Linked DNA regions of Elephas maximus indicus. The protein of the gene in region 4 interacts with the protein of the main gene of each other region in a pairwise test. Links are inferred from orthologs where the notes say so. Each region holds a gene or a part of one and is shown on either strand. Other genes may lie near its edges.

Region 1 (8,308 bases), on a different chromosome or scaffold from region 4:
CTACCAGATCTCTAGACTCAAGGCTGATAGTTTGAGCAGGTAAGTTTTTTGTTTTTTTTTTTAATTCTGCAAATTAACATGAAATCCAATAACTGCATTTTCTAAGCCATGTTTTACTTATTTTTTTTTTTTATACAGTCCTGTCGACTTGAAGGCACAGAACAACAACATAGAATCCTAAGACTTTCTTCAGAAGAAGCAGAATAATCCTAAAAAAGATTGCGGAAACCCTGGTGGCGTATGGTTAAGCGCTACGGCTGCCAACCAAAGAGTCAGCAGTTCGACTCCACCAGGCGCTCCTTGGAAACTCTATGGGGCAGTTCTACTCTGTCCTATAGGGTCGCTATGAGTCAGAGCCAACTCGATGGCACTGGGTTTTTTAATAAAGATTGTGAAGCTGCAAATTCATCCCACCCACCTGCAAAACGCAAGACAAGCAAGGTGTCATTTTTTTAAAACTCAGCAGACAGTAAGTTGTTATGTAGGCTCTCTTCTTCCAATTGAACATACATGCCTAATGGAAACACTCTAGTTCAATCTCGTGTTAAGAGCTGTCCCCAAAATATTTTCACTCAGCAGTTGGCATTTCTAGGTAATATACGTAGAGTTGCTACATATATTCGGAATCTAATCCACGGCAGTTGGTGGTTATATGTAGAGAGGAAGGCCTCATTCTCAAGTCTTCCCACAAACACACACAAAAAATCTGACTCCCACAACAGGTTAATTAAGCTTCCCATTTATATGTATATAGCTTGAGGACACAGAATTCTACATAAACATAACAGTCGTTAAAGACACAAATCCAAAATAGACATAAAATTTGATTACTCTTTCACTTCCAGGTATATACCCAAGAGAAAACGAAACACAAGAATTTATACACAAATGTTCGTAACAGCATTACATATTCATTATTCATAAGAGCCAAAAAGTACAACTAACCTAAACCGACTAATGAATAAAATGTAGTATATTCATACAACGGAATATTATTTGGCCATAAAATGGAAAGAAATCACGATACATGCTACAAAATGGATGAATCCTGAAAATACTATGCTAAGTCAAAGAAATCACCTACAAAAGACCAAATGTTGTGTATTCCATTTATGTGAAATTTCCAGAACAGGCAAGTCTATACACAGACAAAAAATAGATTAGTGGTTGCCTGGGATGGGGAGGGAATGGGTGAGGGCCAGGCATGGGGAACGACTACCAATGGCTATGGTGTTTCTTTTTGGAGTAATGAAAATGCTTGTACAACTCTGTGAATGTAGTAAAAAATCACTGAATTGTACAATTCGTAGATTGTATGGAATACTCATTATGTCTCAATGAAGCTGTTAAAAAAAATCAGCTACTCTGGAAATGGCTCCCCTTCAACTCTGTAATATACATTAAGCAAGAACTCTTGATGACCGTTTATTTGGATTAAGATATGGATCAAAATCATGTATGAAAAAGCAATAAGCAGCAGGGTGGGTACTAAGTGATTATTTAAAAATTGTCTAAAATATTTAAGAAAAATATTTTTAAAACAATGATTATTACTGAATAAATATATTATCTGATTTATTAACTGATGAGCTACTAAGCACACTTTTCTTTACAAAGCTGGCTGGATTCAACCTTAAACAAAAAAAACCTGTTGCGGTCAAGTTGATTCCGACTCAAAACGACCCATCTTAAGTTGAATTCAACTTCTATGTCACATTCCTCCATAAGAAAATAAGTCATTTAAAAAAAAAATTTAGAATGGTACCGGGCCATTCAGATTAAAGAGGATTTACAAAACGCTTAACTGCCTATTATCAAATGAAGAGTACTTCATAATGGCTTAAGTATTTTCAGTCTGCAGGATCAAATGTGCAGGTACAAATGTCCAACTGTGTACGTGAAGTCTAAGCAGTTCACACAATACTTAATTTTCTGGGTTTTTTTTAAAAAAAGGCATCAGAAGGGTGTGGCATCTCATCCAAGGTCACACAACAAGTCAGGGCAGAGGTCAACATTCTGGTTTATACCAAGCCTCCGGGGAAAAATTCTACAGACAATTTCGTAAAAAAGGCTTTTTGTTTGTTTTGCTTTAAACCATAAAGCCAAAAAAAGAGGGAGGGGACAAACTGTCAGCTCAGTTCAAAACTTCTACGTAGAGACAGAAATAGTGATTACGGATAAACAACTTGTGCAGGGAGCGGTTAAGAGCTAAACAGAGCTAATACCAGTCAAGAGCATGTGAACAACTAGTCAGATCCGTCCGATTTTCAAAAACATTACGCTAAGTCAAAGAAATCAGCTTCAACTCAAAAATTCCAAATTCTCCCTCATGTTCGGTTATGAAGGAAAGAAACTTGGGATCTCCTTATCCTCTCCTTGGAATGTTGCGAGCAAAGAAGGACTCAGTGTGAACGGTATTGCCTCTGAGGGTAAGAATGCAGGTTTTTATGAAAAAAATAATGGGCGTCAGAACAACAGTGAATTTAGAATAAGAAGTCCAAGATTTCTAACTATCTGTGACAATGAGCGACTGACAGAGCGGATCTATAATCATTCCAAGTGAGTCGCATAAAAACCTTTTTTGAGACCAAGAGAAGTCCACTTTCCCCAGTCTGGTCCTAAAAATGGAACCGGTTTTCCACGTGAAGACAGCCGTGGAGAATAACAGCGGTGCGGAGAATGGGCCAAGTTCCTGCGCCTCAGGCAGCCCACTCAGGGAGACGCTCTGCTCAACACGCTTTCACGGCGAGACCACGCTGGATAAGTCCGGTTATAATGAAACGGACCCCGTGGCTTCGCGAGCTCTCAGGCGAAGGGGCGTCGGCACACACACACACTCTTTTACTCACTCACGCTTCGCTGGGACCACTGGGGAGCCGGTGGGGTCGGCACAGTCTCTGGACACCGTCCTACGGAGGTGAAACCGCCTCCTAGCCCAGCTCTGCGTGCCCAGAACCCCACTCCCCTCACCTGGCCCTGGCCCCTGCCCCAGAAGAGATGAAAGTGGCGGCGACAGCGGCAGTTGCTTCCGACAGGGTCCCCCAGCGGCTGTGCCTGCTTTGACCCACGGCCCTAATCTACCGCCGCCGCCATCCGTCACCGCCAGCGTCAGGGCGGGCCCGGGACGCCGAGGAGCGCGGGAAGGGGGCGGTTCTGTTCTCCCAAACGGAAGCTGGGACAACTGAGATCTGGAGTTTCTTCGCGCAGACCTGACCCGGAAGAGCAGACCCTTTCTAGCTCGCTCTTCCCGGGAGTCGCTCAAATCTATGATCCATGGGATTTCGGAGGCGCCCTCGCCTCAAGTCATTTCCGGTCATAGAGGGCTAGGAGAGAGAGAGGGGAAAACGTTGGAGAGCCAATCGCGATGTTGGGAGAGAGGCTGGAGATGGCGCGCAGTGGAGCTTCGCTGCGTCCAAAGGATATGTTCAGTTCTGCAGATGTGTGTTGAGCTTCGAGTATGTGCAAGCGAGCCAATTAGATAAGTGTTAAGAGCTTCTCAAGTGCTGCGGGATTTGGACCCACTCCTTAGGGAAGATAGACCTTGAACGTTGGGGAAGATTTCCGAGGGCATGATGAGGGGGTAGGATAGAGGGAACCTTCTAGGCAGAGGCAACTTCCTGAGCGGAGACGCTATGGCGATAACAGAAGCCTTCAGTACTAATCCATTTTTAATAGAGTGTAGGAGAATAGAGAAGTCAAGGCTGCCTTGGAGCCATTTGTTCCTAGCACCTAGCACAGTGCCTGAATACATTGTGTGGCTACTAATCAAAGGGTCGGCAGTTCAACCCCACCAGGCGCTCCTTGGAAACTATGGGGCAGTTCTACTCTGTCCTATAGGGTCGCTATGAGTCGGAATCGACTCGACGGCACTGGGGTTCACTGGGTAATGGGTATTTGTTTACTTCAATCGAAGCGTCCTTTGGGGGAGTCACTGAAGGTATCTAGGGAAGAGGGTATAATAGCTAAACCATGTTTTAGGGCAGTCACATCGTCTGTGGTGTAGATGAGTCGAATTGGAACAAAGAGAGTTGAAGATGCGGAGTTAGGCTGTTGTAAGAAGCCAGATCAGAAGTGATAAAAACCTGATGAGGAGTGCCTTAGTTATCTAGTATGGCTGTAACAGAAATACCACAAGTGAATGGCTTTAACAAACAAATTTATTCTCTCAAATTTATTCTTCTAGGAGGGTGGAAATCCGAATTCAGGGCGTCAGCTATAGGGGAAGGCTTTCTATCTCTCTCTCTCTCTGTCTAGGTTCTGGGGGGAAGGTCTCTGTCATCAATCTTTCTCTGGTCTAGGAGCTTCTTAGCACAGGGACCCTGGGTCCAGAGGACTCACTCAGCTTCTGCATCTTCTTGTTTGGTGGTAAGGAGGTTCCTGTCCTCTATTATATCTCAAAAGAGATAGTCCTGTAGATTGTCCTGCCTTATTAACATAAAAAAAAATAAATGCCTCTAATCCTGCCTCATTAACATCATAGAGGTTAGAATTTACAACACATAGAATGATTACATCGAATCAAAAAATGGAGGACTGCCACACACTATTGAGAACCATGGTGTAACCAAGTTGACACATTTCAGGGGGAAACAATTCAATCCTTAAAAAGGAGTGACTGCTAACGAGTACAGGGGTTCTTTTAGGGGTGGTAAAAGTGTTCTAAAATTGATTGTAGTGATGGTTGGGTAACTAAATGGTGAATTGTATGATATGTGAGGTATCTCAATAAAGCTGTTAAAAAGGAAGTGATGAAAACCTGTACTGACAGAGGTGTGGTGGAAATGAAGAGAAGACTGAGATGGGTGTCATAGGATTCTTTAAGCCTGACTGGCAGAAAATGGTGGTGCCATTATCAGAGAAATAGGGAAGAGATTTGCCAAGAAAAGGCTTAGTCAGCCTCTAAGAGATTTACCCATAATTTCCTAGTATTATGTAATAATCTAGTCCATATTTACATATCCCCAACTGCCCAAGTATTTCCTTCATAATTTTGTTTATTTTTAAGCCAGGATTTAATCAATGTTTATACATTGCATTTGGTTATCTTTTATTAGTTTCTTAAGCCTTTTTTAATTTTTTAAAATGACATTGGCTTTTTGAGAGACCAGACGTAAAGACTTGATTAGATTCAGATTAAACATTTCTGGAGAAAAATTCTTCATACGTGAGGCTGTGTACTTCAGGTTACATTATGTAGGAGCATTTAGTGTGCCTGGAGTCCTGTTATTACTGATGCTAAAGTTGATCCTGTTCCCCAATAACCTTTCACTTAATACTTTCAGCATTCATGTATTATTCTTGCTTAAATAGTTTTCACTGAGCATTGAAAATAGTGATTTTCTAATTGCATCTTTCTACATTTATTAGCTGGCATTCTGTAAATAAGAAATTTTTTTATTTACAGAATCAACTGGGAATGAGTTCCACATGCTTTTGGCCGGGTGGGGGCGGGGTGAAGCAGAGTAAATACTTGAGTATTTCCTGTAATTGTCAATTTTTAGAGTCTGGAATTAGTGTAATAATCACTGTATGCTGAAACGAGTATTTTCATTTGTTTTTATTGTTTAACACTATGGACAAATGGATTTTTATTTATTAAATGGTTTAAAATACATTACAGTCATTGTTCTTTTTGACTTCCAAATTGTCCCTAATTTGGCCAGTGAGAGCCCTTTCAAGCACACTTCTATGTCAAAGGACACAGGAGTCTTTTTGAGAGCTTTCTTGCTCGCTGGTAAAATAAGATGTCCGGACTCACCTCATACCTTCCCCGCCCCAGACTGGGAATCAGCCATTTCTCCAAGGGCCTGTGGTTCCTTTTAGAGGGAAATAGGAGTTAGAAACCAAGTTGTGGATGTATTCTTATTTCTACCAGGTGTCCTTACTTCTAGGCCCTCTCAGTGGACAGATCTAGGAAATAGATATATATTTTTTAAGTCATAAATTCAAGTAGATACCTTCAATTCAAATATAACAAATATGTTTAAATATAACAAATATAACATGAAGGATTTTTCTTTTCTTATTCTGTATTTGTGTCTCTTGGTTCCTAATAACATTAATGTCAACTTGTTTGTTTTACCCTACAATATAATAATTTCAAAATTAATACATGGCTACTAATACAATAAAACTGAATAAAGTGTAAGATTTCTTTGCAGTTTTTTTGCCCACAGAATAGATCTTAGTAAGGATTTACAGTCCGTTCTGTTTAAAACATCAAACTTTAGGTATTGTTTACATAGAAAATCCTATAGGACCTAAAAACAACTACTAGAACCAGGAACCAATAAGTGTATTTAGAAAGGTCACAAGATATAAAAATCAATTTGATTTCTATACTAGCGGCCAACAACTGGAAAGTAAAAAAAAAAAAAAAAAAAATTAGATATTCCATTTACATAGCATCAAAAAATGAAAGTTATAACTTTTTTGAAAGACATGAAAACTCTACACAAACTAAAACATTGCTGAGAGAAATAAAGCTTTAAGTAAATGCAGAGCTATACCATGTTCAGAAATTAGAAGACTCAATATTGAGAAAATATCAGTTTTCTAAATTGATCTATCTGCATATTCAATGCAGTCCCCAACAAAATCCCTACAGTTTTTTTGTGGGGGGAGGGGGGAGTTGACAAGTTGATTCTAAACACTAATGCAGAAATGCAAAGGACCTAGAATAGCGAAAATGATCTTTTTAAAAATTGCAAGTCTCACTACCTGATTATAAGATTTAATACAAAGCTGTAATATCCAAGATGGTTTATTGGCATACCAAACCCATTTCCATCAAGTCTCATAATGAACTTACAAGACAAAGTAGGGTTTGCCAAGAAGGAGCTGGTGTGTTCGAACTGTTAACTTTTTGGTTAGCAGCCGATCTCTTAACCACTGCACCTCCAGGGCTCCATATGGGCATAAGGATAGACAAATCAGTAGAACATCAAGTCCAGAAATGGACCCCCACACATATGGTCAATTGGTATTTGATAAAAGGCACCAGTGTAATTCAATGAGGAAGGGAAAGTCTTTTCAGCTAATGGCTGTGGAACAGCTAGATAAACGTATGGAAAAAAATGGACCTCGATCTCTATCTCACACTATTTTAAAAAATTGAGATGGGTCATAGATCTAAATGTAATAGCAAAAACTGTAAAGCTTTTAGAAAAAAACAAAGGAATATCTTCACAACCTTGGAGTAGGTCAAGATTTCTTAGGACACCAAAAGCATGGACAATGTAAGAAAAGTTATTAAATTGAGCATCATCAAAATTAAAGGCTTCTGCTTATCACAATATACCATTAAGAAAATGAAAAGGCAAACCACAGACTGGGAGAAAATATTCACAAAACATGTATCTGACAAAGAACTTGTATCCAGAAAATTAAAGAAGTGTCTTGTTGAAGGGCCTGATCAGGCAGCACCCATAGAGGCCACGTTTGTGAGGTGTTCAGGAGCAAATGGAAGCTACTAGAGGATTATATATTGGGGAGTGAATGGATGCTACCTGGGTTTTAAATCACTGTTTTGTGGAAAATTGGTTAGAAAAGGGTAAAAGTGCAGGCACCTGAGTTAGAGGTGTGCTACTTTCTGCTACAATTTGTTTTTCCTTTTTAAATTGATTCCTCAAACATTCAAAGACAGAAATTATCTACATTAATTTCTAGTCTTCCCCTTTATGTCCTACCCAGCAAACAAATTCATGAGTTAGCTCTTCTATTCTGCTGACTCAATTTCTAATTTAACCACATAGTGAAGCCTCAGCATGGTAGTAGGTGAGACAATGCCACAAATTATCGCTTTGTAACTAACCTAACAGTTATCTAGGCCAGTGATTTTGGTGAAGCCATAGGCAAATAGGCTTATCCAGGAGTGAGGATTTTTTAAATATTTCTAAAAAGCTGTTTTAATAGTTTCTTCACAAGACCTAAAGCAGTGTAGGAGGAAATTCAATTTGGAAAACTACCGATTGGTTACTCTTTGCGTGTACTCATTATAACTTTTTCACTCCAGGGATTCTCTCTGTGAAGTTTACCACGTTCTTATCAGACAGGTCCTGGCCTGTTCCTTAGTGCATCAGCAAAACACTGCAGAAGCTGTGGTCTTAGAGAGTATTAACATGGGGGATGGGCAGGGCTCAAAAGGGGGATGTTAACTGTATTTGTAAAAGTATTTCTTTTATTTAAAAATTAAAATCTTGAAGCAAATGTGATAAATGCTAATTGTCAATTATGGGTGGTAGCACATGGTACATGCATATTTCCAAACCTATTTGATATGTGGTATTAAATTGCTGCTCTCACTCCC
Region 2 (7,613 bases), on a different chromosome or scaffold from region 4:
TGCAAATTAAAACCAAATTGGGATATCTTTTGTCATCTATCAGATTTGCAAGATCAAAGAGTTTGATAAAATGCTGCTGGCCGGGGTGCAGAGAAACAGGCAGTCACACACACTGCAGGTGGAAGTACCCATTGATAGAACTTCAAAGAGGTGCAATACCGTGAAACCCATCAAAATTACCAGCGCATGTCTCCTTTGACACAGCAATTCCACTTCGGAGAATTTACCCTACAGAAATACTTGCATATATGCAAAATGATACATGCACAAGGCCATCAGCTAGAACGCTGTAATACCAAAGTTTGGGAACAACCTTAGTCCATCAGTAGTGGGCAGGTTAAACTTTCAGAATTCTATGCTTCTGAAAAAGAACGAGGAAGTGATCGGCAAGATATACTGAGAAGAGTAATGTCCATATACCCATTGCCATCCAATTGATTCCAACTCACAGGGGCCTTGGAGGACAGGGGAGAACTGCCTAATAAGGTTTCCAAGGCTGGAAGCTTTACGGAAGCAGACTGCCACATCTTTATGCTGTGGAGTGGCTGGGGGGTTCAAATCGATGACCCTTCAGTTAGCAGCCAAGCGCTTAACCACTGCACCACAAGGGTTCCTTATCACCCACACAGTATTCCACAATTTGCCTAGAATACTAAAAACTGGTAACACTGATTGTCACTGGGCAAAAACTAGGTGGCCAGGGACAGGCTTGAGAAAGCGAGTTTTAGAGTATTTACCCTGCGCACCTTTCCAGGTGGTGATGCAGCTAAGGGCTTGGCTGTTAACCAAAAGGTGGGCAGTTCAAATCCACCAGCTGCTCCTTGGAAACTCTATGGGACAGTTTTACGCTGTCCTTTACGGTCACTATGAGTTGGAATTCACTCGAGGGCAATGGGTTTTACCTTTTTGTACCTTTAAACTTTTGAACCCTGAGAATGTATTAGCTATTCTTAAAAATAAAATTTTAAATAATAACCAAAAAAAGCTTTAGAAACATGTCCCCCATTGGTAAGATACATGAGATAATAAGATCTGAGCCTCTTCACAACCCTAACAGTATTTGGCCTGTTGCCCAATCGAGAATACTACAATATATTCTCCATTTGAGTGTTTGTGTAACTTCATAACAGGCTGGAGTTTGGGTTTTTTTTTTTTTTATTGTGCTTTAAGTTTACAAATCAAGTTAGTCTCTCATACAAAAATTTATATACACCTTGCTATATACTCCTAGTTGCTCTCCCCCCTAATGAGACAGCACACCCCTTCCCTCCACTCTCTCTTTTCGTGTCTATTCAGCCAGCTTCTGATCGCCTCTGCCCTCTCATCTCCCTCCAGATAGGAGATGCCAACAGAGTCTCATGCGTCTACTTGATCCAAGAAGCTTACTCTTCACCACTATCATTTTCTATCCCATTGTCCAGTCTAATCCCTGTCTGAAGAGTTTGCTTTGGGAATGGTTCCTGCCCTGGGCTAATAGAAGATCTGGGGACCATGACCTCTGGGGTCCTTCTAGTCTCAGTTGGACCATTAAGTCTGGTCTTTTTATGAGAATTTGGTGTCTCCATCCCACTGCTCTCCTGCTCCCTCAGGGGTTCTCTTTTGTGTTCCCTGTCAGGGCAGTCATTGGTTGTAGCCAGGCACCATCTAGCTCTTCTGGTCTCAGGCTGATGTAGTCTCTGGTTTCTGTGGCCCTTTCTGTCTCTTGGGCTCATAATTACCTTTTGTCTTTGGTGTTCTTCATTCCCCTTTGCTCCAGGTGGGTTGAGGCCAGTTGATGTATCTTAGATGGCCGCTTGCTAGCATTTAAGACCCCAGACATCTCTCTCGAAAGTGGGATGCAGAATGTTTTCTTAATAGATTTTATTATCAGGCTGGAGATTTTTGAAATAAACTCTACCTTAGCTGTTACAGAGAGCTAAGAGATACAGCTAAGATGCCCAAGGTAAAGTTAATTCACACTCAGGGACCCGGATAAGACAGACATAGGTCATGTGAGGAGAAAAACAGGACTAGGGCAGAAGCTGCAGAAAAATCTTCACATTTCTCACGTTAACCTAGAAAATTGAGGGTGGAGTAAACTGTGTATATTCCCAAACTTTAAGGTGAAGAAATCTAGGTCCTGTAACAAGATACGTGTTTCTGAAACTCGGCTTATCCTGCACACTGGGGGTCATGTTTGTTCTGTAGGCACATTAGACAGAGGCTTCCCCCGGACCCCACCCTCATTCAGGTCGGGAGCCTTGACAGGATAAGTCCTTCAGTAAAGGGGCCAGACACTTCCCTACCTCCTTAACAGCGAAAAGCACTTTTTAGAGAGACAGACCTGTTGATTGTGGGCTTTTAAGAAAGCATTCCTGTGTGTTCTCTCTGTCCATCACCTAAAAATATGTCTGTTTTCCACACTGTGCACACCTGGAGGGAGGGATGCTGTACATAATCCACCTGTCTACCGACTGTTTTCTGGTCAGGGAGTAAAGACGGTAAACCCAACACTCCAGGGAAAGGAAAAACAAGCCATTCAAGGCCCATCTCAGGGGGCTCAGGAAGGCGGCGCAGCCTTGAACGTGTATCTAGGATGGTCCAGATTCGCCTGCTCGGGGTGCAGAATGAATACAAGCTCAAGCACGTTGGCTCAGGCATGCTTGGGCGAGCAGGTCAAGACCTGCGAGTTATAGAAAGGAAAAGCCGAAGTTTTCCAGCACGCCGGGCACACCTGTAGGGACAGGTGCGTGCAGGTTAGCTGACCACCTCCAGTCTCAGGCTGGATACACCCACGAGGTTGACTACTGTTTACAGGCGAGTGTGTCTGGAGGCAAGGTGAAGTGTCTACCTGTCCGAGGCAGGTGGCCCGGAAAGTGGGGCCGGGCTACGCTCTTTCTTCTGCAGTGCCCAGCGTGCGCCCCGCCAGCCCCCGCCCCGGCCTCTGGGCGCGCCCTCCGCCCGCCCGCCCCGGGGCGCCCCAAGGTCACCTGCCCTCCCCAGCGCCCCCACCCACCCGGGCTCTCACCAAAACAGCAGGTTGGCGCCGACGAAGGCGAGCAGGCTGCGCAGCGGCCTCTCCCAGCTCAGCAGCTCGTCGGCGCGGCAGCCCAGCCACAGCACCGGTTCCCCGAGCAGCCAGGTCTCGGCGGCGGCCGCCCGGCCCGCGGCCTCCTCCACCTGCCGCTCGGCGCCGGCCGCCGCGAGCTGCTCGTGGGCTCCCTCCTCCTCCTGCGCCTCCTCGCGGGGAGCTCGGGCCGGGCATCCCTCCTCCGCGGGCTCCGAGGGCGCCGGGCTCGCCATCTTCCGCGGCGCGGCGAGGACGCGGACGCGCGGCGCGCCTGGGTGTCGGCGGGTCCGGGCGCGGGGCGCGCAGCGCGGGGCGCCGGTGGTTGGGTGCCTTGTGACGTCAGCCCGGGCCGCGGCGGGGGCGCCGCCCGGGGAAGTGGGTGCGGCCAAGTTTACGCGGGGGCGGGGCCGGGCGGCATCCCCGCGCGGTGGGTGCGCAGCTGCGCTCTCTCCGGGGCGCTCGGACCTGGCACTGGCTTCGCCAGGGACCACAGAAAATGAACGCTACCCCCTTTTTGTTTCCGACTGGGGGAGTGGGTCTGAAGTAGAGGTGACGCCGCTGCAGGTTACTTATCTAAAATGAAGTCAAGGCTACAAGCAAAATAAATTGGACACCTCCACTGTCTCAAGCCAGGGCTACCGCCCGCCGGTCCTGGAGCCTGTGACAGCGGATTTCAGCCCCATCGAGTCCCCTCACCTTCCCCCAGCCCAGTGCCCTCACAGGGCACAGCCTGCACAAACCATAGGCATTGAGGTCTTTGGCATCCTGGAAGTACCATGAGGATATAAATGTTGGACTGAGAAAGCAGGGAAAAAAAAAATTGGAGTCAATTACGGAGAGCCTGATCCTCTCGTTTACAAGTGAGGAAATGCAAGGCCGCGGCGCTGGAGGAAGGCCCTTTCCCTCTGTGACTCTGGGTTTCTTGTGGGTAAAGTGACTTGGCTCAAAGGCACAGGTGAGTGGGGTTGCACTCAGTAAGGGACATCCCTGCCACCAATAAAAAGGGTGAGGGTGTGCTGTTGCTCTTCTCACATCCATTCTTTGTTCTGCGTTTTGGTTTCACAGTTTTCTTTACAAAGGTACTTTGATATTTAAATGTCATTTTACCTTTATAAAAGTATATAGTGTTCTTGCCCAGTGCCCCCCAAAGACACACCCTTTCCCAATTTTAAGGAGAGTACACTCCATAATAAAGAAGCTGACTCGATTTTTGCTGTCAGAGTACTCACCATCATCATCATCATCTACAGGCATTTATAGACAGGCCATTCTGTCACTGCAAAAGTAGTAGCAATTATTGAAAGCTTCCTTGGAAGTGCTGGCACTGGGAAAATTCAGGGCACTTTCACAGTTTCTATGTAGCAGAGCGAAGAACAGAGTCGAAGTTATATAAACCAGATTTGGCAAGCCCAGATTGCAGTTCTTTCAAAGTCACTGAGGTCTCCTGTCACAAGCAGGCACCAGGGTGGAGGAGAGGAGGCAGTGAGCAGATGACAGGGTCTCCTGGGACCTCACAATGCTGAGCCTCTTTGGCCCTGGGGCTTCTGGCTGAACAGTTGTGGGAGATGGGGAGTGATTGTATATGCTCGCTTTTCACTATTTGTGTTTTATAAATGTTTCTATTGTTTAATCTCCCAGTTCTTGCTTCTAGGATAAAACATTATCCCTCTCCCCCACCTGTACACACCCATCCCTAGAGCTCTGCATGCAATAAAGCAGGGCTTTCATATCTGAGTCGACCACTAGAACCAGCCAGCTTTCACAGGCTGCCTGGGGCTCCTTCCCAGAGCGCTCAAAGCCCTCTGCCTCAAGGGATTGTCTGGAGAAACATTCCTTCTGCTGATCTGAGTGGTCCTTGCTTATGTTTATACATGCATGTTGTTGTTCTTGTTAGGTGCTGTGGAGTTGGTTCCCAACCCTATGCACAATGCAAGGAAACACTGACCAGTCCTGCACCACTCTCAGAATTGTTGCTATGCTCGAGCCGATTGTTGCAGCCACTGTGTCAATCCATCTCATTGAGGGTCTTCCTCTTTATCTGCTGACCCTCTGCTTTGCTAAGCAGGATATCCTTCTCCAGGGACTGATCCCTCCTGATGATATGCCAAAGTATGTGAGATGTAGTCTTGCCATCCTTGCTTCTAAGGAGCATTCTGGTTGTACTTCTTCCAAGACAGATTTGTTTGTTCTTTTGGCAGTCCGTGGTATATTCAATATTCTTTGCCAACACCACGATTCAAAGGCATCAATTCTGTCAATTCTTCGGGCTTCCTTATTCATTGTCCAGCTTTCACATGCACATAAGGCGATTGAAACGCCATGGCCTGGGTCAGGCACATCTTATTCCTCAAGGTGACATCTTTGCTTTTTAATACTTTAAAGAGATCTCTCGCAGCCCATTTGCTCAATGCAATGTGCCTTTTGATTTCTTGACTGCTGCTTCCGTGGGAGTTAATTGTGAATCCAAGCAAAATGAAATCCTTGACAACCTCAGTCTTTTCTCTGTTCATCATAATATTGCTTATTGGTCCAGTTGAAAGGGTTTTTGTTTTCTTTATGTTGAGGTGTAATCCATACTGAAGGCTGTGGTCTTTGATCTTCATCAGTAAGCGCTTCAAGTCCTCTTCACTTTCAGCAAGGAAGATTGTGTCATCTGTGTGTTGCAGGTTGTTAATGAGTCTTCCTCCAATCCTGATGCCCCATTCTTCTTCATTTAGTCCAGCTTCTCGGATTATATGCTCAGCATACAGAATGAATAGGTATGGTGAAAGGATACAACCCTGATGCACACCTTTCCTGACTTTAAACCACACCGTACCCCCTTGTTCTGTTCATTACACGTGCATACACATATGTAAAAATCTATCCATTTGTGCTTTGCAGATGTGTGTACTTTTCTGTATGTATATTATATCTGAAAGAGGTATATTCCCAAAGGCCATGCACAGGTTTAGTGAGTACCTACTACATGCCCAGTGCTCCTCCACGAACTGTGGATACTGCTTCCACCCACAGGAAGTTCAGTCCAACAAGGAGCCAATTACAAGCGTGGTCAATGCGGTGACAGAAATAAAGACTAAGTGCTAAGAGACTCTTTGCTTAAGTTGAGCATCCAAAATTAAGGAGGGTGTGGAGGAGTCAGATTTCAGGAGGCTCTTTGGAATAGTTGATATCTGACCTAAATTGTAGGAGCCCCTGGGTGGTGCAAATGGTAACGCGCTTGGCTTCTAACCAAATGGTTGGAAGTTGGAGTCCACTCAGAGGTACCTTGGAAGAAAGGCTTGGCGATCCACTTCTGAAAAGCCATCCATTGAAAACTGTGTGGAGCACAGCTCTACTCTGACACATGTCGGGTCACCATGAGTCGGAACTGACTCCACGGCAGCTGGTTGGGTGCTACATTGTAAGAAAGGAGAATGAAGAGGGGGTGGGACAGGCACTGGTTTCTGATGGGAGATTAACACGAGGAAGGTATGGAGTTGCAGGTGGAGGTGCTGATTCAAGAAGCAGGGTTGGTTGTGTATATTCGCAGTGGAATGAAGTGAAAGATCCACCAGTGTCAGAAGTGGTTTTTAACCTGAAGGCCATGTGGAGCCCTTGGTGTCTTTTCAGAGGACCTCTGCCACCCAGTGGAATGTGGCCTGAGAGGCGGTGAAATAGCACTGTGGAAACAATGCAGGATTTTCCCCACAAAAGACAAACTTGTCTTTTCAGAGGTGTTGAGCTTCTCCCTTGGCCCTGGAGAATCAGCTTTTGAAAGATAAATGATGCTTTATTGTGTAATGTGGACTTCGTTTAGCATTTGATACAGCCCAGGGCTTGCCTCATTCTTAGACCTTTGGCTGCTCCTCTGGGAACCAGGCTTCCCCATTGCCCTCACCAGTGTTGAAGTGCTCCCAGAAAACATGATTCTTCACATTCCTCCTTCTCCCCCTGAATTCTAATTATTGGTGTCAGGATCTGTGAAAACAGCAAAAGCTGTTGAGGACCAAGATATGTGAAAGCTAAGCTCCAGTTGCTCGGTGTGGTTTGCAACACTTACTATCTTTGCTTAATGATAAACCTCCCTACTGGCAGCCCTCCTGTTTTTAAATACTACTCACAGGCAGAACTGTTTTGCATAAAGGGCTGGACTAATTGCGCTCATCTGTCTTTTGCACCTCTGGCCTCTAATAATGACTGACAAACAGGAACAGACACTGGCATAGACCCATTAACTGATGCTACTGAATGTCTTTTCTTTGTCTAATTATCTTTGTGATGCTTGAGTAATTCATTCAGTGCTAAGACTACATAAAAATAATGCTCACAGCGGTGGCAATAAACATCGTCCCCTAGTTGCAAGAACATACAAAAACCCAAACATACAGTGTTGAAAACTCCTGAGGGTAACTTTACTGTTCAAGATTCTCTCCTGAATTCTGCCTCACCGAGTACTGGCAACAGCATGCTGAGCGCTAATGAGCTAAGCTATTTGACAATATGTGTCCTGGGAAAGGGCCCTGGGTGGTGCAACACACTGGACCACAAATCTAAAGGTGGGTGGTTCGAACCTACCCAGCTG
Region 3 (8,091 bases), on a different chromosome or scaffold from region 4:
CTATGGGGTCTCTTTGGGCAAGAATGTAGATCTTTGAAGTAAATATTTTGAGCAGATTTCTTCATAAACACAAACTGTCAGAAAATAAACTGTTCAAAATAAATGGCTTCTCTCCAATCTTCAGCTTCTCTATTTTTGACAGTATTTAAGAGAAAAAGCATCTTTAGAGCCAGCCTCATACATCTGGTAGCAGAATATTAATCCAAGAATGAATTCTGCATTTTTAGGCGATCAGCATTGGCTTCCACTGTTCTTAAGCAATGCAGGATAAGGTCTGGAATGGGAGGTCATTGCCGGTATCTCTTAGAATCAGACCTGCATCCCCACCAGACTTCAAAAAACAACATGAAAAAGGACTTGAAAGTCACAGACCTATTATAAAGAATCAAACTCTTACTTTCCAGCTTCACTTTTGGTTACTATTAATCATACTGCTAGTCATTTGAGGGTTCCAGTTAAAGTGGCCATTTTAAGTTTCCTTTAATGAGAATACATTGATAAGTAGCAGATAGGAAAATGCTAGAAAAGTCCAGTAAGCTGTGGACAGCTTAGTGTTGTTTTAAAACAAAAACAAATTGCTGTCAGGTTATATTGCTCAGATATAGTTAAAATTCCAATTTTACACAAATTCAAAATTTCTGAAAGCAGCATCTGTTTGTCGTAACAAAATAAAGCAGGAAAAAATATTTCAACCGTGAAAAGTGGCAAATTTATATGCCTTCCTAAACACCAACTTACCAAAAGGGAGATCAATTGAAAATATTAAAGGTTCTCTGGAAGGCTTCTGATTATGCTAAAATATTACTGTTAATTATAAAAACAAAACAAAAAATTAATATCTGCACAGCAGAGTTAAAAAATAAAAAAAGGTATTATCCTTTAGCCGGCCCACACAAAGACACTACACTGCCAGTCTGAGAGCTCTATTAGGCACAACTCCAACTCTGCCAAAGCTATTCTCAGCACAGGCCACACAAAAATATTAATATTTAGTTTACACTGTGGTATTCTGTTAAACTTTCTCATGTCCACTGACAACCTTGTAAACACATAAACAATTCAATTTTTAAGCTTATCTTTCTTAATACTTCAAAGGGTTGATGAAATTACATGTATCTAAGAGCTGAAACTCTGGGAATGGTTTAGAACTTCATTCCAGATTCATGATAAAGACTGAACAAATTTCAATACCCATCCTCTTTGGGCCATCTTTAATGGGAAAGGAAAAGCAACATTTGTCAAGGGCCTTCCAGTCCCAGGGACAGAGCCTATCAGAGTTCTGTGCCTTTATGCAGTTTCAATTCATTCATCTCATCTACACCGGAAATCTAAAGCAAGAACTAATAAAATATGATCTGGAGTGATCACTGTGAAATGTAACCTCTTCTAGGTTTTAAGAAAAGTGTTCATAAGTATACGCTATACACTCCAGGCATTTATAAAAGCAGTCATACAATAAATAATATTACTCTGTTAATGTAACTGGGGAAATAATCTGGGATACATTTTTCTCCATAGAAAAAGACCACTATTTTAAGCATACTAAATTATTTTTTCTTTACAGTGACAAAAATTAGCTTGCTTAATTACAAAGGCACTAAAATAGTATTATTATTTTCTGATGAATTTCTACACCATACTTTACGAAAACTTAAATACTTTCCACCTTCATGTTTTTCATTTGAGTTTGGATTTTTTTTTTAAGAAAGCCTCCATTTTCTACATGTGACTGCATATAATTGAGTACCCTCAAATCCGATTTTTTAAACATCTCTTTGGTAACTGTCAGACTTAAGCTTGTCAACATATATTCTCATATACTAGGGAAAAATATACATATTTGTCTTCAAAAGTAAGCAACAGATTGACATTAATACAAAGAATAAAACTACCTGTATTAAAAGTCTGAATCTGTGAAGAGAATTGTTTGGGTGCTTATTCATTTATTTGAAGATCTACAAATACATACCAACTGTTAAAAAAAAAAAGCCAGCTAATTAAATAATATAAATCGGAAATATCACCCTACAGTACTTTTCAAAACACTAAATTCACCATATACAACCCAACAGAATATATAACTATATATAATAAAATAAAGAAGGCACTATCGCAGGGAGGAAAAATCCGTTTTAACATTCATGTTCTCCCATATGTGTCAAATGTCTCATATCTTAAACCGGCAAAATGAAGGTTTTAGCCAGAATGATAAGTGATAAGCTAGATAAACGCTTATTTCCAATTTAACCTCCACACTGGAGGCTGTCACCACCTGACTCGCCTGTTGTTATTTTAATGGGTCGAATTTTCTATCATGTTAATGCTAAAGAGTCTGGGAGATAACAGAACTTTACCCTAAAACTTTAAAGAAACAAAACTTAATATGTAATTGTAAAAATAACAGCCATGTTTTGTTTTTGCTTGTCTGTATCTAATCTTTAAAAAAAAAAAAAGTCGCCAGGAAAACAAAAACAGGTCTTTGATCTTGGTCCGATTTCGGTCAGCCCACGCTCCTTTCACCCAGGGGGATACGTTTCTTGATATATTTGATAACAAACACAAATCACTGTGCGCAGCCTCAGATGGGGGGAGGCTTTCAGAGAAAGCCCTCCTCGGTTAGAAACAATAAATAAGAGACCGAAGCGATCGTACGTTCCTACACACACGCCCCAAACGCACCTCAGTGTGCCTCCGGATGAGGGAAACAAGTCCGGCAAAGCCCTGAACCACCTCTCTCCCTCTCTCTCCATAGCCATCCCAAGACTTGGAAACTAGAGTGGCAGATCTCTTCTTTCTCCTTCCCGCCCTCTTTTCCACCTCAAACAAATCCAAGAGCAGGAGCAGGCGAGCCAGACCCATGCAGTGCGCCCGCGGCCGCCGCGGCCACAGGAGATGCTAGGCGGCCGGCCGTCCGGCCCCGGAGGAGCCGAGATCACAGCTGCGGCCGCCACAGCCTGCGCTCGCTCCCGGAGCCCACTCGGCCGCCTGGGGTCTTCACCTCTGAGACCGCCCCCCCCCCAGCTTGTTGCCGCCAACGTCCAGCCGCCCGGTCCCTGCCCTCCCTCTGGACCTCTCCCCCCACAGAGGAGACAAAAGGAAGGTTCAGCCGGGTCACTGCGCGGCAGCGGAGGGGAAGGCAGAGCAGACCCCAGCGGGGCCACCCCCCACACAAAGGGGTTCCCCAGCCCAGGTCGCAGTCTCAGCGTGCTCGTCCCCGCCCAGCGCACGGGCTCTCACCCACCTGCAGGTGTCTGTGCGTCTGTCCATAGGAACGCGGGCGATGGGGGGGCCTGCGGGAGCCGGGCAGCCTAGGCTGGACGGGGCGGGACAGAGGAGAGGGAGGGAGAGCGACCAAGGGGACCCGGACCGAAAACAAGTGGAGCGTGGAACGCGCCCGGCGGGCGGCGGGTGGGGGCGCCAGTCTGGCTCGGCCAACCGGCGCGCGCCGCTCCGTGCGCCCCGGGCTCCGAGCGCCCTGCTCGGAGCGCGGCGGGCGGGCGGGCACGAAAGGGGGGCGGGGCACGGGCGGGGCGGGGCCGACGAGCGGGGCGGGGGCTCGGACCCCCGGCTCCAGCCGCCACCGGAAACGCGCCGTGGTCGGCGAGACCCACAGGAAGTGTGTAACGACACCTCCTACGACACGCACCGAGCCTACAGTCGTCGCTGCCTGGAGGAGGTGTGCACCACCCTCCTTACACGCACACGCGCGCGCTGGCTGGGGAGGTTTGTAACAACCCTTTTTCACGCTCTGGAGCTCAGTCCCCGCTGCCCGGACAGGTGTGGAGCCTGTGATCTCCATTATGTTCCGGAAGTGTGCAGCGTGCGCTCCTACCGCAAGCCCCAGTCCAAGGACCTCGATACCCCTCGGAGGTCCATACACCTCCAACTAAGACGCAACAAACAAAATCTGATCTGTTCCTCGGTATGTGACACCTGTTAAAGTGCACTGAGCAGACACCTCTATAGCCAGGGACGAATAAGAGCACGTCTGACCGATATACAAACAACCACAGTCAACCACCTCGTGGAGGTTTCTAACATCCAACTACAACACACACACCCGTCACACTCCCCCATCCCACAGGAGCCGGGGGTGGTTAATGAGTCCTAAAACAAACTTAGAACTAGGTCCTCCCACACTCCATGGAACCATGCAATGACACCACCTACAACAGAGGTGAGGCTGGACGTGCTACATGCTACTGGGTATCCTCCACCTTATTTAACACTTTAATAGTACTTACTGTGTACTCGGACTTTGCACTAAGTGCTTAAAAAAAAAAATGCTTAGCAAATATTAATTCATTTAATCCCAGCAACTGTTAGTTGCTGTTAGTATCCCCATTTTACAGATGGGGAGACTGAGGCACAGAGAAATTAAGTTTGCTCAAGATCACATAGCTAGTGGCAGAGCCCACATTGAATCCCAGGCAGTCTTGCTCCACATCCCATGCTCTTAACTTCCTTTCTTCTTAACAGCACAAAGCATCTCCAAAATAATAATGATACTAATAAATAACATTTAGAACATATCTGATTATTCATATGCCACTTTCTGTTTGTCTTCTATACCTCTAGACACAAATCAACAATGCCCCAGGAAGAAAAATGACTGAGAATATAGAACTGATGTCAATATGTTTCCCTTCTTCCTGGGTTCTAAGAACCTCAAGATGTTGGCCTTACCCCGCTTGTGACAGGAAAGCCACTCCTATGCTTGGGGTAGGCGAAGGAAGAAAAGAGAAACACAGAGACAATGAAAGAGAGAGGAAAAAGAATCCATGGTCATCCAAAACCCAGGTGAATAACTTATTTTGTCACCTCAGGCAAACTCTCCTATATGGCATTCTACACCAATTCTTCTCAATCTCCAGAGCAAATATTCTTAGGTCAATATTCTCAGCACCTTGTTCTGTCAAAACTCTGCCTGATCTAGGCTGAATAAAGTAATCTGTGTAAACATTTTTGACAAAATAATGTCTGTGCAAAAAACAAACAAAAATGCAGTTAATTACTGCATATTTCAAAGTTGAAATCCCGTTTGTTTAAATGAAATTTCCATCAGGATGAATTTTTTTAATTATGCCAGCTATGATGGAGTGGAGCTTGTTGAACAAACTAACTCTCCCACTGAGAACTATAAAAGCTGGATTTTTTTTTTTAAGGGGAAAAAAAAAACTTTAAAGCTATTGGAGAGCAAAGTTGGCCAAATTTTGACAGTCCAAGAGTACAGGAAGAAGGAGAACATATTGAAGTGAGTTCTATATTCTCAACTACTTTTCCTTCTTGGGACGTTGTTGATTGGTGTTAATGAGTATAGAAACCAAGCAGAAAGTGGCATCCTGGAGCTGTGGCAGTCTCATCGGGCTGGAGATTTCTTTAAAAAACAAAAACAAAGGACACTAAGTCTATCAATGCAGCTTGGAATTGGGGGACCAAGATCCCAGAGAATAGGCAATTGAAGGAGCCAGTCACTCTATATGTCATTTTCCCTCAAAGCATTTCCTGATTCCTAACCTGTGCATGCAAGAAGTCAAGAAAACAAGTAGAAAGCAGCTGTTGAGAAAAAGAAAAAAAAACTAACCAAAAATTGTTGACAGTCTCATGACGCTGGAAAGAATTAAATGGGAAGGATGGTCCCTGGTAAACCCATCTCCCCTGGGCTTTCAGTTGAGAGCCTTGAAGAACTATATCCTGGGAGCAAAAGCAAAGTGGAAATAGCCCTCACAATGCCTAAAACACAGCTTTGAACTATCTCAGTCCCTGGTTGGATCAAGGTGATCTTCCCATGTTCTGCCTGCCTGGAAAAAAAAAAAAAAATCCCCGTTGGTGGAAGAGCCTTTAAAATTTTTTGTATACAAAGTCTAGCATTCCATCAACAGTTACCAAATATGCCAAGAATAAGAACACTCTTAACAAAAGCCAAGAGGAAAAAAAGATAATAGACACATGATCCAGATATTATAGATATTAACCTTTAGAATAGCTATGGTTAATGTGTTCAAAATAATAGATAATTGGATAGAGACTGCCACTAGGGAAATTGAACGTTAAAAAAAGAATCAAATAGAGTCATCAGGAAAATGCAGATCAGAACCACAATGAGATATTACTACACACCCATTGGAATAGCTATAATCAAAAAGACAGATAAGTGTTGGTGAGGATGTGGAGAAATTGAAACCTTCATACACTGTTAATAGCATTGTAAAATGGTGCGGCCACTTTGGAAAAGAGACTGGCAGTCACTCAGAAGGTTAAACATAGAGTTACCGTCTGACTCCGCAACTTTTCTCCTAGGTGTATACACAAGAGAAATGAAAACATATGTCCACACAAAAACTTGTATGTGAATGTTCATAGCAGCATTAGTCATAATAGCCAAGAAGTGGAAACAACCAAATGTCGGTCAACAGATGAATGGAAAAACAAAATGTGGTCTGTAAATATCACGGCAATATTATTTGGACACAAAAAAGAACAAACCTCTGAAGCATGACATGATATGGATGAGCCTTGAAAATGGGGTGATATTATTTGAAGTACAATAAGACAAGTTACATATTGTAAGCTCTAGAATGACCTCTAGAAAATACAACAAAAACAAATAGCTAAAATGTCAATAAAAACCAAACAAAGCTGTTGCCATCGAGTCGATTTCAACTCATAGCAAACCTATATGACAGACTAGAGCTGCCCATAGGGTTTCCAAGGAGCACCTGGTGGATTCAAACTTCCAACCTTTTGGTTAGCAGCCATAGCTCTTAACAATTACGCCACCAGGGTTTCCAAAAAGTCAATAGTGGAGATAAAATGGAAGGCAGAATGAAATGGATGAAGGCCAGAAAAAATGAACAAAGATATACAGAATAAATGGAAAAGAAGTAAGATGATTGTATCCCTTTGGGATCAATCAGAAGAGAGAAACTACACATTAGTTTGAGCTGGGAATGTTTAATATAAAGACTTACTAACTGTAACAGGGAATTGCAGTAATGAGGAAGTACCTGTAGGAAGTAAAGAGAATCCTAAAGAAAGTATAATAGCAGATATAGAGAATGCCCTGATGGGCTGAGGGAGAGCCCCCAGGAAGAGGAATTCCTCCCCGCAGCTGAGATGCAGACATTTTTGAGAGGGCATTGCCGTGGCTCCCCCACGTGTCTGTCAGTTTGTCGTACTGTGGGGGCTTGCACGTTCTGTGATGCTGGAAGCTACGCCACCGGTATTCAGATACCAGCAGGGTCACCCATGGAGGACAGGTTTCAGCTGAGCTCCCAGAATAAGACAGACTAGGAAGAAGGACCCAGCAGTCTACTTCTGAAAAACATTCCCCAGTGAAAACCTTATGAATAGCAGTGGGAAACTGTCTGATATAGTGCTGGAAGATGAGCCCCCCAGGTTGGAAGGCACTCAAAAGATGGCTGGGGAAGAGCTGCCACCTCAAAGTAGAGTCGACCTTAATGACGTGCATGGAGTAAAGCTTTTGAGACCTTTATCTGCTGATGTGGTGCAACTCAAAATAAGAAGAAACAGCTGCAAACATCCATTGATAATCAGAACCTGTAATGTACAAGGTATGAATCTAGGAAAATTGGAAATTGTCAAAAAGGAAATGGAACGCATTAGTGAGCTGAAATGGACTGGTATTTGGCCATTTTGAATTGGACAATCATATAGTCTACTATGCTGGGAATGACAACTTGAAGAGGAACGGTGTTGCATTCATCGTCAAAAAGAATGTTTCAAGATCTATCCTGAAGTACAACGCTGTCAGTGATAGGATAACATCCATATGCTTACAAGGAAGACCAGTTAATAAGACTATTATTCAAATATTCACACCAACCACTAGGGCCAAAGATGAAGAAATAGAAGATTTTTATCAGCTGTTGCAGTCTGAAATTGATCAAACATGCAATCAAGATGCATTGATAATTACTGGCGATTGGAATGCAAAAGTTGGAAACAAAGAAGAAGGATCAGTAGTTGGAAAATATGGCCTTGGTGATAGAAAAAATGCTGGAGATTGAATGATAGAATTTTGCAGGACCAACGATTTCTTCATTGCAAATACCTTCTTTCACCTACATA
Region 4 (7,520 bases):
CAAACGAGGCTTGAGAGAAAATGGCCATGAAGCAGCCTCTGCTGCCTGGACAGAGAATCACTTTTCACTTTCAATTCTATTTATATCTTGGGAATAATGGGGGAGGGGGTAGTTGGTGAGACCTGCAGCTGCTTTAATTGCTAGATTAATGAGGAGCCATCAGAGTAACTTTACTGTCTCCAGAAGCCTGCTTCACTTCCTTCGACATCCTTTGAGAAGTATGGATCAGAGTTGAGGAAAACAAACTTGATACCATACGAACTAGTCACCTACTTCCTCCTCCAAGAACCCACCTCCAGGAAGGAAGAAACAGGGTAGCCAAGGCCCTGCTGAAGTTGCAGGTATATAAATGAAGATTACCTCTCAACAACCCTAAGGGAAGTTGAGAGTGACCACAGATGCCCAGGGCTTCCTCCCCTAGTGACTAATACACCCAGCAACATACTGCCCAGAGGCCTGTGGGGAAGGAAGACTAGAAAAACCCAATGAGGTGACAAGATCACCTCTGACAACATCACAGCTTTCACAGACCAATGGCAATGGCACCCAGTGGGCAGGCCCTGGCCTAGCTCCCCAGGCAGGTCACTGGCCTTAAAGAAGAGCCTTTTATTTTTCCCATGTCTTGCCTCTCTTCCAAACACTGGGACGTGGAGGTGGTAGAGACTGAGAAAGAGGAAATCAGACCTAAAAATAGCCACAGCTTTCTACCTTTAGTAGAAATAAGGTTTGGAATTTGGCTTAGGTCTCTTCTGGAGCTTTTAAGGATTTTCAAACAGAGCCTATTTTGGCCACACTGGGCTAGTTCCCAGGGCTTCTGAAAGCCTTAGCTTTTAGAAATACTACTTTTGGGGGTAACAAAGGAAACTTTAGTCTTGGATCATCGAGATAACAGCCACCCAGGGGAAAGGTAAGGGTTAAAATCTGGTTCCAGGTCTACAAGTACCCAATCAGTAATGGGAAAAGACTGGCCAGTGGTTTAGATGGAGCCAGTCCCTTTTCCTCTTTCCACAGGAGACAAAAGCTGGGTTGTCAACTACATGGAAAAGGATTGTAATGCTCCTGCCTAGATTTAGGCTCCAAAGTTTTAACGCCAAAGCCTGCTTCCAGGCAGCAAAACAGAGTATGGTAGCCATTACTCTGTGGGTCAAAGCTGGTGGTATGGAGGGAGGTATCAGTCTGTAAAGAGACCTTAGAGCCCTTTACTGGACAGCAGCCATTTTAACGAGCTTGAGAATCAGGCACTACAGACTCTCACCGTGGCAAGAGCTGACTGAGTTTGGAGAGCAATCAGGCAGGGAAATTAGCTGACGCTAAGCCTCAAAAGGGACTACAAGCTCCTGGTGAAGAGTGACAGGGCTGATCTGGAGAAAACTTCATTTCAGATCTCAGTTCTATGCCTGAGTCTGCAACTGTTTTAAAGGATTCCTGGGCGTCTGAGGATGGGTTTCATCATTAAAAAAAAAAAAACTCCAGGCCTTGTTCTGTACTCCTAAACGAAGTGCACTCCATGTACTGCAGCCCTTCCTCATTTTCCTGGTGCTCCTGATGTCTTGGTTTCCAGCCAAGAGCCCTAAGAGTTTTTAGACCTCCAGAGTTCTGAGTTCTGTATGCAGCTAAGCAAATGGCCAAAACAGAGGGGCCATGTAGTGACCGTCTCTCACCTGGATTGTGGGACTGTCTTATCCACAAAAAGGAAGATAGCCTTTTCAGAAGGAAGCTGGATCCTTTTCCTGATGATCCACATGAACTGAGCCACAGTGATGTCAGATGGAACCAGGTACTTCCGTTTGTCAATGTCAACAATCTGAGAGCCGGAGACTTTTTCCACAATCACCTGAGAGAGTAAAGAGAAGTCAGAACTGGATTTCTAAAGTGAGGCTCTGGCCTTGAATTGTCAGGACAATTGATGAACAGAGTGTGGGCTGGGAGGTGGGTAGGAAACTATACAGCATTAGAAAATTAGTCCCTGGCTTAATAAACCACACACTCCAGAGGTTGAGGGCTGATATAAATGTGTTACATGAAATCAGGCAGTACTTTTCTATGGTCAATTATATTTCTTATCCCTGATCTCAGCCTGCGTAAGAGAAACGCAGCCCTTACTACTAAGCTTTTCAACAGTTTGGGCAGACCCAAGAATTATCTGGTGAGGGTTTCATGTATAGCCTGTTACTCCAAGGCCTAAATTGAATCCGCCTTCACATTACAGGAGAATTAAAATCTCAAGGAACCCAGGAGACAAGAAGGGATGCACTAATGGGAATGACTGGCAATCCCAGCCAGTCAAGAATGAAGGTATTCATCTGGCTTGTTGCTTTTCTGTGAACTATGTTTCAAATTTGCCCCCTGCCCCCAAAAGAACTGTTCACAAAGAGCTTCAATAACAGGCCTAGATGTCCTCTAACAATAAAGATAACAGAAACTATCTACTCCAGCATGAAAAAAATATGAGATCACATTTATTGTTGATTAGGGGAAACCAGGGGAGAAGGGGTTTCATTGTCTTCTCAAGTTTTTTTTGTCACCAAGATGACAGGGTCAGGGTGAGGAAACAGAGCTAGAGATTGGCTAAAAATTAAGGCTTGAAGTTAAAAATGAATGTCCTGAGACTCAAGTAGTACTTCCACGATCAAAGTGACAATCTCCCTCCATCACCATTCCCAAAAGTGGCAGTGACCTGTTGCCCTGTCCTAGAACAACGATCCTTATGTAATTAGCCAGGGAGCCCAGAGGCTGCAGACAGCTCGCTGGCCTAGATCGGAAGATTCAGCACTGAGGAACCCTGAACAGCACCAACCCGAGCCCCCTCACGCCGGGCACCTGACCGCCCTAACCCAGTCTGGCCCGTCTGCTGGTAGAACTGGGACTAGAACCTCAACTTATCACTGTAGATTGGTCTAGGGCCCTAGACAGCGAGGTGAGGGGGCGGGGGAGGCCGAACACTCACCGGAACCCGGTCGGGATATTTTGCTCGGATTTTCGCGGATTCCACGCATCTGTGTTCTGCGGGGAGTAAACACAGGGGCTGACGGCCGAGCAGGTGCGGTTCCTGGGCCCCCAACCTTCCACCCCCTGCGACCTGCGCACGCCCCGGGCCCTGGATCCGGCGTCCCCGCGGCCGCTGTTCTCTGTTGCTGGCTCCCGGTCGGGCCCACGGAGGGCGGAACGGGCTCAGTGTTTAGCTGCCCGGGGTGCCGAGACTTCTGCGACCTAAACCCGGGGTGCGGCATCAGCCCCGCCCGGCCCAGGGCGGCCCGAGTGGGGGGAGGGGGCCCACCCGCCGCCCCAACCCCCCGCGACCCAGCTAGCCTCCAACCGCTTACCCAACGAGTGGTCCTCCTTGAACATCCACTTCATGGCGGCGGCGAGAAGGGGACCGAGACGGCTCTCGGAGCCAAAGTGTTCAGCGCACCGACCACAACAACGACGACGGCGGCGGCAGCGGCGACTACACGGCAGGCGGGACTTCCGGCAACCAAGCCTAGCAACCGGCGGGGGCGGGGCTTCCGGTGCCGTTGTCCGGACCCCAAACGCAAGGGGCGCGGCCTCACTTGAAGGGGAGGGGTACAGGAGGACTTCGCGGGAAGCTGAGCGGTAATGGAGGACGGTAGCCTTGACTACGGGTTGGGCGAGTTGGTCCGTGAGGGGATGTTTGGGGAACTGGTGACTGGAGCGGAGTCACGGTGCCCGTTGGTGACAGGAAGGGGAGATTGGGCGAATGGCGGATAGGACGGGGCTCTTATGAAGGGCTGTTGACGGGGGAGAGTGGAGTGTTGGTGACAGGAAAGGGATTTAGGGGATATGAATGACTGACGAGATGTCTCTGAAGATTGATGACGCCAGGGGGCTTGCGAGTATTAACAGTTCGGGGAGCATTGTTAGGAGCGGTGGCAGGTTGGAGGCTCTGTATGGGGGTGTATGACTAGTTTGAGGCGACTGTGGGGAAGGGGTACTTATGACAACACGAAGGTGTAGTAGTGAGTACAATCAAAATAGGTTGCCTTGGACATAGAAATCAAATTTAAACAACTCCCGTTTTCTTCTCTATTCGTGAATAAATTTTTAAAACATTTAAGAAAAGATATTACAAATACTCATTTGAGGAGTGTAACATCACTGATCACGAAGAGACTCGCCTTAACCTTAATAAGCAGAGGAGTTAGAGGTGACTGTCAGGCTTAGAGAATCCCTCTGGCAGCTGGTCATGAGACAGGATTCCTTGTTTTGCACCCAGATTGGGGTCCAGAATTCACAGCTTGGGCTGAGCATGTATCACCTGCCTGGGCACATGCCTTGAGGTTTTCCAGTCCATGATGTAATTCCCTTTTTCCAAGCAGAGTCATCAGGGCAGTCAAGACTGGGTCATTCTCTGTTTATAAGCTGGTGAATAGGTAACGAGAATATTCACTTAATTGGGCACATGACTCCTGTCACATGCTTGTGATTCTGATGCATCTGGAAGTCCTATATCTTTGAATATTGTCATTCATAATTTTCTATAGTTGAAATTCCTGATGGATGCTGTGGAATCTAGCTTCATTCTTAAAGTATTTTTTTTTAATTTTATGATTGTGTTTCTGAGCACCCAAAATAGATTTTTGTTTGTTTTTAGTGAAGTGAAAAATCCTTTTAATTTCATACATAGAAATTAGTGTCTTTGCATATAGGAGCACAGTTCTAAGTGCTGGGGAAACAGCAGTGAACAAAACAGATGTTTCTGTTCTTACAGAGTTTACATTCTAGTTGGGCAAAATAACGTCAGATCATTATAAGTGCTCTTTAGAAAAATAAGACAGGTTAGGTGATTAGAGAATGTTGGTGGGATGGAATGCTATTTGGATAGGGTGGTTGGCATATTCTAGAAACAGAAAGGAATCCCTGCAACTCGAGATGAGTAAACAAGGGCAAGTGTTTTAGAAGATGCGATCAGAGAGATCTAGAATAAAACTGTGTTGAGCCTTAAATGCCATGGGAAGAACTTTGGATTTTATCAGAATGATGGAAGTTACAGCAGAGGTGTAACACAATCTGCCTTGCCTTTTAAATGATCAGGCTAGCTTGTGTGTAGACAGTAGACTGTAAGGGGGTGGGGGTGGAAGCAAGGGAACCAGTTAAGAGGCTATTGCAATAATCTAGGTGAAAGATAATGTTAGCTTAGATTAGGATGGTGTCTATGGAGGTGATGGGAAGTAACTGTATTCTGGATTTATTTTGAAAGTAGAGCCAACAAATAGTTTGGTTGTGGGATGTGAGCAAGAAGTCAAAGTCAAGGTTCTTAAAGGGGTAGAATTGCCATTTACTAAAATAGGGTGGAGTCAGTTTGGAGGTGGAATAAAGAGTTTGGTTTTACAACATAGACCAATGGAACAGAGTTGAGAATCCAGGCATAAATTCCTCCACCTATGAGCAGCTGATATTTGACAAAGGCCTAAAGTCTGTTCAATGGGGAAAAGACAGTCTCTTTAACAAATGGTGCTAGGATAACTTAGTATCCATCTGCAAAAAAATGAAACAAGACCCATACCTCACACCATGCACAAAAACTAACTCAAAATGGATCAAAGACCTAAATATAAAATCTAAAATGACAAAGATCATGGAAAAAAAATAGGGACAATGCTAGGAATCCTAATACATGGCATAAACAGAATACAAAACATTATTAACAACACACAAACACCAGAAAAGAAACTAGATAACTGGAAGCTCCTAAAAATCAAACACTTATCCTATCAGAAGTCTTCACGGAAAGAGTAAAAAGACAACCTGCAGACTGGGAAGAAATTTTAGGCTACGACAAATCTGACCAGGGTCTAATCTCTCAAATCTACAAGATACTGCAAAATGTCAACAACAAAAAGAAAAGTAACCCAATTAAAATATGGGAAAAGGTTATGAACAGACACTTCACCAACAAAGACATTCAGGCAGCTAACAGACACATGAGGAAATGCTCACCATCGTTAGCCTTTAGAGAAATGCAGATCAAAACTACAATGAGATACCATCTCACCCCAACAAGGCTAACATTGATCCAAAAAACCACAAAATAATGTTGGAGAGGCTGTGGAGAGATTGGAACACTTATACACTGCTGGTGGGAATGTAAACCACTTTGGAAATCGATTTGGCACTTTCTTTAAAAGCTAGAAATAGAACTACTGTATGATCTAGCAATCCCACTCCTCGGAATATATCCTAGAGAAATAAGAGCCATCACACAAATAGATATATGCACACCCAGGTTCATTGCAGCACTGTTCACAATAGCAAAAAAGATGGAAACAACCAAGGTGCCCTTCAGTGGACAAATGGATAAATTATGGTATATTCACACACTAGAATACTATGCAACAATAAAGAACAACGATGAATTCATGAAACATAACATGGATGAATCTGGAAGGCATTATGCTGAGTGAAATCAGTCAGTCACAAAAAGACAAATATTGTATGAGTCCACTATTATAAGAACTCAAACAAAAGTTTAAACACAGAAGAAGACATTCTTTGATGGTTACGAGGGTGGGGAGGGAGGGAGAGGGGAATGCACTACCTAGTAGTAGACAATAATTATCTTAGGTGAAGGGAAGGACAATACACAATACAGGGGAAGTCAGCACAACTGCACTAAACCAAAAGCTAAGAAGTTTTCTTTGAGGGACAGAGTAGCAGGGGTGGAGGTCTGGGGATCATGGTTTTGGGGGACATCTAGGTCAACTGGCATAACAGTATATTAAGAAAATGCTCTGTATCCCACTTTGGTGAGTGGTGTCCGGGGTCTTAAAAGCTTGCAAGCAGCCATCTAAGATGCATTGATTGGTCCCAAACCACCTGGAGCAAAGGAGAATGAAGAACACCAAAGACACAAGGAAAATATTAGCCCAGGAGACAAAAAGGGCCACATAAACCAGAGCTCCATCAGCCTGAGACCAGAAGAACTAGATGGTGCCCAGCTATCACCAGTGACTGCCCCGACAGGGAATACAACAGAGAGTACATGACGGAGCCGGAGAAAAGTGGGGTACAGAACTCAAATTCACGTAAAAAGACCAGACTTAATGATCTGACTGAGACTAGAGGAATCCCAGAAGACATGGCCCCCAGACTGTCTGTTAACCCAGAACTAAAACCATTCCTGAAGCCAACTCTTCAGACTAATAATTAGACTGGACTATTTTTTTATATATATAAGACATAAATGATACTCATGAAGAGTGTGCTTCTTAGCTCAAGTAGATACATGAGACTAAATGGGCAGCTCCTGTCCGGAGGCAAGATGAGAACGCAGAAAGGGTTAAGAGCTGGTTGAATGAACAGAGGAAACCCAGGGTGGAAAGGGGGAGTGTGCTGTTACATTATAGGGATAGCAACTAGGGTCACATAATAATGTGTGTATAAATTTTTGTATGAGAAACTAACTTGAGCTGTAAACTTTCACCTAAGGCACAATAAAAATAAATAAAAATACAATATTAAAAAAAGTTTGGTTTTTGATATATTAAGCATGAGATGTCCAA

What was found.
Region 1: the proteins of GABARAPL2 (region 4) and BCL2L13 interact in binary tests that used the Homo sapiens proteins (3 or more experiments, as listed by UniProt). The two-hybrid records come from large-scale screens. The link is inferred for Elephas maximus indicus from reciprocal best matches to the Homo sapiens genes GABARAPL2 and BCL2L13.
Region 2: the proteins of GABARAPL2 (region 4) and RETREG1 interact in binary tests that used the Homo sapiens proteins (3 or more experiments, as listed by UniProt). The link is inferred for Elephas maximus indicus from reciprocal best matches to the Homo sapiens genes GABARAPL2 and RETREG1.
Region 3: the proteins of GABARAPL2 (region 4) and KIAA1958 interact in binary tests that used the Homo sapiens proteins (3 or more experiments, as listed by UniProt). The two-hybrid records come from large-scale screens. The link is inferred for Elephas maximus indicus from reciprocal best matches to the Homo sapiens genes GABARAPL2 and KIAA1958.

What each region holds. Positions count from the first base shown.
Region 1 is NC_064822.1:55,261,255-55,269,562, forward strand, and holds the start of BCL2L13 (bcl-2-like protein 13), read right to left. Parts: upstream 3,167-8,308; 5' UTR 2,971-3,166; intron 2,964-2,970; exon of another isoform or gene 2,850-2,963; intron 1-2,849. UniProt on the Homo sapiens protein: May promote the activation of caspase-3 and apoptosis.
Region 2 is NC_064820.1:20,172,887-20,180,499, forward strand, and holds the start of RETREG1 (reticulophagy regulator 1), read right to left. Parts: upstream 3,373-7,613; 5' UTR 3,283-3,372; coding exon 3,008-3,282; intron 1-3,007. UniProt on the Homo sapiens protein: Endoplasmic reticulum (ER)-anchored autophagy regulator which mediates ER delivery into lysosomes through sequestration into autophagosomes.
Region 3 is NC_064827.1:61,736,213-61,744,303, reverse strand, and holds the start of KIAA1958 (uncharacterized protein KIAA1958 homolog), read right to left. Parts: upstream 3,482-8,091; 5' UTR 3,242-3,481; intron 1-3,241.
Region 4 is NC_064839.1:41,234,957-41,242,476, reverse strand, and holds the start of GABARAPL2 (gamma-aminobutyric acid receptor-associated protein-like 2), read right to left. Parts: upstream 3,467-7,520; 5' UTR 3,358-3,466; coding exon 3,324-3,357; intron 3,004-3,323; coding exon 2,948-3,003; intron 1,835-2,947; coding exon 1,662-1,834; intron 1-1,661. UniProt on the Homo sapiens protein: Ubiquitin-like modifier involved in intra-Golgi traffic. Modulates intra-Golgi transport through coupling between NSF activity and SNAREs activation. It first stimulates the ATPase activity of NSF which in turn stimulates the association with GOSR1.